Coturnix japonica: one gene and its partner. The protein of the gene in region 2 purifies or fractionates together with the protein of the main gene of each other region. This does not show direct contact. Links are inferred from orthologs where the notes say so. Each region holds a gene or a part of one and is shown on either strand. Other genes may lie near its edges.

Region 1 (3,500 bases), on a different chromosome or scaffold from region 2:
ACAACCAAACCCAGCACACCCCTCCATGCCCAACAAACAGTTCACAACTGCCAGCCTCCTCCAGGTTCACCTGCTGCAAACTGCTTTTCCTTACCTCCAACAAGCTGCCTGCTCATGCAGCACCCCCAAAGAAGCACAAAGGGATTAAGGTGCAAAGTGCCACAGTTTTGCCATATTTACGCAGGAAAACCTCATAATGAACACTGCAGACATCATTCAGTGTAATTAATAAACCAACCTGGATTTCATCCCTGGTTTAACTTCTACTGTCTTATCTGAACTTGCTACCACTCTGACAAAGACCTCCCCAGCTTCAGGATGATTCTGTCGCCTCAGAAACTTGTTCACTCTGTCTTCCAAATGGTTTCCTAAGCGCGTGGTCTGCAGCCCTGGAATTGAAGAGGGAGAAGACAGCAGCACACACGTTAATTGCTGTGAAGCTCAGGGTCAGCCCACTACAACACACCATGTCTGTAAGGTGTCTCACACTGCTTTCCTCCTTGGCTTTACCTCCACACAAAAACAATCATGTTTTTATTCCTATAGCCCAAATGGGCTGCTTTGTATTCATACCCTCCCATGCAAACCAAAAGCACAGCAGAGGGCAGATTACTCAGGAAGGGCACCAACCAAAGGCAGCTTCATGTTGCATTTTTAGATTCTTGGGCTTATTTTACAGACACTGCAAATGTTTTCTCCTACCAACACCACGACCCGGCTGCTGGGCAGAGATGACACCACCATATGGATTTTACATCTCAGGCCCATTTAACATACACTTCCCATGAAAGCTCAGCACCCAATTCAAACTGTAGCTCAAATCTGATACAGGTCTCCACACCAACACCAGCATATCAGGCTTCCAGGCAGCCTGGGAGCAATGGAGAACGTTTGTTACTGGGTGAGCAACAGTCCAGATGCCCCAAGAACAAAACTACCTTATGCTACATGTTGGTTACTCAGACATTTTCAAGCTCTGTCACAGAAAAACTGCACACCTGTAAGATTCTAAATCAATACACTGTGAAGTCAGCGTATCAAAGGAAAGGCAGCTATTCACAATGATTACCTGCAATGACATTTTTATTTCTTTATTTCATTAACATTCTCTTACAACCTTCATCTGTCTTGAACGAGAGTAAGTTTCATCTTTTCAACAATACTATTTCACATGGCAGGTTACCCCAGAGACGGCTTTGATTACGGTAACCTGATAATGCTGTGTGAGCCATATCCCCCACTGCACCCCATTATCCTTCCTGAGCTCTTGGAGCGGGTCCAGAGCAGGCCACTAAGATGATCATAGGGCTGGTGCCCCTTTTTACCCTCTTCCTCTTCTTGTTTCTTTTGCTTTCTTTTTGTCATAGAAAAGTAGGCAAAGAGATGCCAAAGGCCTCGAGCAGCATTAAGGCTGACTACATAAGGATCAGGTCTTTAAAATACTGACAGCCAGCAAAGCCTCAGGTGACGCTATTCCCCATTTTGCAAATACTCCTGTACTATCTATCATGACAGCAGCATCAATTAGAAAGCCAATATATGACAAATACATACAAAGGAAGAAATCCTTTGGCAGAGAGAATGAAAACCAAACACAGAAATAGAAACACCAGACTTACTTTTAGCGCTGAATTTGTTTTCTTTACGTGTTCTACCAGTTTTCTTCAGACAATTATCACAAACAAACCTGGAGAGAACAAAATACAAGTGCCAAAAACTTGACAAGTCTAATTCTGGCTACACCCAACTCCAAGTGCAAACCCATCATTGTAACCATCAACATACAAGGTGTTTTTCTCTGGATTTGGCCTTTCCATTTGGGGGACTTTAAACCCTCCTGAGCTGCTTTAAGTCTGTCAAAGCTACATCTGCATTTATTGTCAATCAGCTCCCATTGTTCATGAGAAATCTGAGTATGTAACAGGTTTGTTTCATGTACTTTTTCAATCTGAAACTACTGAAATGAGACCAGAGATGCAAAACTTCACAAATACTTTGTTCATACTCAGCGATTAAAAGACAGTGATGTGTATTAAAAAGCAAACACAGAAAATCTTAATTATGGAAACAACATCACTTTTAACATATGAGGCTTAGAAAGCGAACAAACATCTTACCCTGAAGGCCAAATAATATCATAATGTAATACACAGATCTGGTGCATCTTCCGACCGCACTCTTTGCAGTCAACAAACCTGAGAAGGGAAAGGAACAGCCCGTCACTTTTGTTGCTAGGCAGGTAATTTTCCAGAATTCAGCAGAAAAACGAACAACAGCCCGACCTTCTGCTGCTCTTCATCATATGTTTAGTAGCTACAAGTGTCAGATGTGAACTCCTGAGTTCCCTTTTTGTGGTGTTCAATAAATGTTTGGATGTTGTGCTGCAGGACGTGGTTTAGTGGGATATAGTGGTGATGGCTGAATGGTTGGACTGGATGATCTCTGAGGTCTTTTCCAACCCTGGTGATTCTATGATCCTATCTATGATCCCATCTTACTCCAACCAGAGCTTTGACTTTTCCCAGCTTCGCAGAACTCAACACCTTTACAGACTTAGTTTGTTGGTTACTGCACCAACCACAGGCTGACAAAATGGTTGCTCAACTCACTGCAGACATAAAAGCAAGTCGTTCATGACTAACCATGCCAAGAGGACACGTATTAACACGCCTTTGCCTGCATGGGTCTGCACTGGAGTTCTCTGATTTTACTTATTTTTTTATGATACTCCAAAATAAACTTCTCTTTTGCCTGGGCTGCCACAATGTTTATGGACCCCACCGCAATGGTGAACTCAGCAGCCTGCCTGTAAAAGGCAGAGCAGCTCTGCCTAATACCTGTATGAGAAAAGAGGATCACGCTGCCAGAGAACAAACGAGCATAAGATTAAGGCCTGCTGCAGCCACTTAGGGACAGCAGGAAGCGTAACACTGCTGCTACAGGAACAGCCCACGTGACTTTCCCAACAACCTCATGAGAACGATGCCCCTTTCGGTGGCCAAGTGCTCAGGTGAATTTGCTCTTTATTTGTAGGGTACTAACAATTATTCTAAACTAAGGAACAAAACAACCCTCTTAAATCAAAGGCTGAAACAAATTAATCCCTTTTGCTAGATATGTACCCATATTTCTGACCTCCTTCCTTTTGGATACTTGTAAATACCCAAATAATGAGGGGAAGAGCACAGCACTCAAATGTTAAGACTTCTATTTCAGCCTGACATAAAGAGGAATGGCAACTGAAACAGATCCTGGTACCATCGGCAGACACCAAGATCACACGTGGTGCTATGAACTCCAGAGCAAGGCTTCACTGCCTGCATGGGCAGAGGTGGGAGAAAAAGGAAGAGATCTCGATTCCTTCTCTCACTTCTGAAGTGCTGGTTAGAGCACAAGTGAAAGCTGTGAGTGACCCTAACAGCACAAATGGCCTGGTTACTTACGGCTCAGGATCGAGCGTGTCGTTCTTCTTCTTCTCAAACTGATCTTTAGAGATGGTT
Region 2 (4,017 bases):
AACTCCAACCAAAATTCAGGAGTCCAAAAAAGCAAAAAAACAGAGATGGAAGACAAGAAGGTGCCTCAGCAGAAGCTTGTAGAAGCAAAATGATGACAGAGAGCTCAATCTGAGCATTCATAGAAGGCCAAACCAACCACAGAAAGAGAGGAGGCCATAACCTGACATGCCTGTAACACACACTAAAACCACAATAAGTGATTACTGCTGATTAAAACCTTGAGGAAAGGAGAGAAAAGAACCCTCACATTACCAATGTTTGAATTCAATCAATACCTTAATAATAAATGTAAAACCAGGATATTATTTTATCAAGATCTCAAAATTCATTGTCACGATGACATTTGTGCAAACAATTCCCATCTCTAAGCTCCAGCCTCCGTGATCTTAAAATATTACACATCAGGAGAGAGTAGTTTGTTAGCATACAGCACTGCTAAATATTTAAGGGTTATCTGTGCAGGATCACAATTAAGATGAACGCTGGTCCCTATGTGCAAAGAACACAAGAAGGCATTTCTCTTTTCTAACCCATCGGATGGAAAACACAACCAACACCAGGAGTTCAGCTCAAGATGTCACCTGGTATTTCACTAACAATTCAGGAAACTCCAACGAAGATTGGCACAATATCGTTTCATAGGCTTTTATGGAGCTCAGTGCCCTTTCTGAATTGGTAAAGCTCCTGGGGGCATGCAATACTATCAGCTTTCTGAAAACAACCAGTCTATTTTTAAACAGGAAAAAACAAAGTCAACTAGGACAATTACAAGCTTGATTTTTTAGCGCTTTGATTCTGGTATGACTAAATGCAAACCCCCAAATCAACCATAACATCCCCCTGCAAGCATCACAAATTATTTTCAAGCCTTTCTTTTCAAATAAGATGATCTATCCTAGCAATATCTGCTTAGATTTTCTTCTGCTATGCACAGTAAAGACTGGAAATAGACGTCCACCTATTCTCCATGCCATGCAAAATCATAGTACAATCAAAAAATAAAAGAGCAATTAGTCCCTGTAAACACTGAGGTATATGAAAACAATTGGCTTATGAAGAAAATAAGGTTTTTCATCTGTTGTGTCCCCAAGAGTATCAATGACACAATGAAAGTGTTTGAGGTGAGAGTGTCCAAGCAGTATGAACCGTGGCAAATCCAGCTGGCATCTGTCTCAAACCGTACTGTGGGAGCAGGTGGCCAAGAGCCCAGCTTCCATTGTGGATCAGCTCTGCCAAAAGCACCTGAAACTGTCAATTTTGAAGCTACCTGCTCCTCAGCCCTTGTGTTCCTCCTGTCTCCCTCGTGTCTGGAGAAACAGCAACAGTGTGACTCACTTACCGAGTGCACTAAAGTCCTTAGTGCCTTTTCACCTGCTCAATAAAAGTTATTTTTAGAGAAAGCAAAGCCGACAGGCAGCACTGGGGCACTGAACAGCTCCTTGGCCTCCAGCAAAGCTGCAGGTTCCCTGACTTGAAACCAGAGCATTGCGCAGATAGGAACAAACATCTTTTCAGTGCCTCCAACCCTAATATCTAAGGACACAAAGAGATAGCAGAAACATTTGTGTTATTTCCTCTTGGAGCTCAAAACACGTGACAACGCAAGACTTCAAGCAAAGCCTGCCATAAGCAGTTATCTACATCCATTCCTTAAAGACAGACAAATCCTAGATTTTAAGCTAAACTTAAGATCTTTTCACAGAATCACAGAATGACCCGGGTTGGAAGGGACCTCAAGGATCATGTAGTTCCAACCCCCCTGCCTGGCAGGGCCACCAAACATACACCTTTACTACATCAGGTTGCCCAGGGCCCCGTCCAACCTGGCCTTGAACACCTCCAAGGACGGGGCATCCACAACCTCCCTGGGCAGCCTGTTCCAGGGCCTAACCACTCTCCTAGTGAAGAACTTCCCCCTAACATCCAACCTAAATCTTCCTTCTTTTAACTTCAAACCATTTCCCCGTGTCCTGCTATTATCAGCCTTTTCGAAGAGTTTACTCCCCTCCTGGGAGTAAGTTCCCTTCAGGTATTGAAAGGCTGCAATGAGGTCACCCCGCAACCTTCTCCAGGCTGAACAAACCCAACTCCCTCAGCCTGTCCTCATAGGGGAGGTGCTCCAGCCCCCTGATCATCTTCCTGTCCCTCCTCTGGACCCTTTCCAAAATCTCCATGTCTTTTTTGTACTGAGGGCTCCACACCTGGACACAGTACAACAGATGGGGCCTCACAAGAGCCGAGTAGAGAGGGACAATCACCTCCCTATCCCTGCTGACCACCCCTCTCCTCATGGAGCCCAGGATCCCATTTGCTTTCCTGGCTGCCAGAGCGCACTGCTGGCTCATGTTGAGTCAAACAAGGCTTAAGTTCACAAGGCTGCAGCGTTTACAAACCTTCACCCAGAGACCTGCAGCCACCTCAACAGCCACAAACACAGGCGGCACCTCCGGACTCGTCCGCCCGCTGCCACAACCCCACGTCCCGCTCCGCTCACTCACGGTCTCAGCGTCGGCTCCTCGGGGATGACGGCCGGCACCTGCTGCTGCTGGAAGGATCGCAGCGACTCGAAGGCCTTCATCAGCTTCTCCATGGTGGCCATCGCCGCTCCGGCCCGCCCTCTCACAGGCGAGCGCCCTCGTCCTTCCTCCCGCTCCCGACTCTCCGCCTGTCCCTCCTCTCCCCCTCACACCCTCCTCACAGGCCGCCTGGCGCCTCACAGCCGAGCCGAGCCGGGGAGCCGCCGTTCGGGGCCGCGATCTCCGCCCCGCTGCCCCGCCGCCATCTTGGGGTTGGCCCAGCAGCCCCCGCGCTCCTGCCTGGGTTGCTCCGCCCAGCACGGGTTGGGCGCCCGCTGGCGGCACTAAGGGCGCCTCAGCCTCCATCCATCCATCCCCTCACAGCCCTTATCGCGCTGAGCTGATGCCAAGCGCTACCGGCACTAAGGCGTTATTTTGGGCTGTGAGGAAAAAGGGGAAACACTTACAGGAACCAGCACTTAGTGCTTGGCAGGGGACCCGCTGGCCGCTCAGCATCAGCCTCGTGATGCTGGACCTGCTTTTGCCCTCTTAAAGCACATATAAAACATACCTATTTAAAGGCTGCTTCTCTCAGAGACAGCGGAATTCAAGTATTAAGATCTTTTTTTAACTAAAAATAATGGATTGAAGTACAACCTCTGCTTTAATGTACCTATAGCTGCTGAGACAACAGAATCAGCAATCATTTCTATTTCAACAACTTGTAATTTTAATTGTTTTCATGACAACTTTACCTACCCCGGCTACCGTGAAAGAGCTGCTAAACAAAGCACATAAGACAATAATAGGTGTGTTTGAGAGATGTGGCAGTGTTCTGCTTTTATTTCAAGAGTAACAATGGTAGAACATCCAGGAAAACAGCTCATACAACAATTAACTCGAGTGGTTCTGGAGCTAACACATTTAACAGTCAACATGGCTATAAATGGAAGGAACTGTGGTGGTTTGGACGTATGTGGAGCATGAGGAAAGTTACCTGTATGTGGATTCATGAGGTACACACAAGCAGACATTAAGACTTACAGAAACAAATGTTTGGAAACAAAAGCCACAAAGAAGGATTGATCTCATTGAAACAGCTCCACAGAACTGATAGATCTTCCTGTATCTCACACCAACAGAACAAAGCAGTTGGGCTGCTGGATTGTCTCGCTGCTATTAAAATCATGTAACAGAGCTAGGATCTGAATTCACAGAGGTGAAATGAAGGCATTCTGAACAGGAAACTCTATTTCTAATTATAGCTTCATCGAAATAAAAGTCTACATCAGCAGTAAATACAACCTGCTGCCATCTCTCATCTGCATCCTATGAAAAATCATGAACAAAATTCATATTATGTTTCTCATACCACAGTGCTTTGCTTTCATCTCCTTACCCTTTGCACACTTCTCCAAGTGAAATCTCCAAGCTAGTAATATTAGTCACTTTAAATTATATAGCACAACTTCCTCATCTCCATGTACCGTATAAAGAGAA

What was found. The genes of interacting proteins can lie anywhere in the genome.
Region 1: the proteins of HTT (region 2) and CREBBP purify together in Homo sapiens (affinity purification with western blotting; 5 studies listed by BioGRID and IntAct, with this or other methods). This does not show direct contact. The link is inferred for Coturnix japonica from reciprocal best matches to the Homo sapiens genes HTT and CREBBP.

What each region holds. Positions count from the first base shown.
Region 1 is NC_029529.1:11,019,037-11,022,536, forward strand, and holds part of CREBBP (CREB-binding protein), read right to left. Parts: coding exon 3,444-3,500; intron 2,196-3,443; coding exon 2,118-2,195; intron 1,688-2,117; coding exon 1,620-1,687; intron 390-1,619; coding exon 239-389; intron 1-238. UniProt on the Homo sapiens protein: Acetylates histones, giving a specific tag for transcriptional activation. Mediates acetylation of histone H3 at 'Lys-18' and 'Lys-27' (H3K18ac and H3K27ac, respectively).
Region 2 is NC_029519.1:74,630,080-74,634,096, forward strand, and holds the start of HTT (huntingtin), read right to left. Parts: upstream 2,801-4,017; 5' UTR 2,601-2,800; coding exon 2,500-2,600; intron 1-2,499.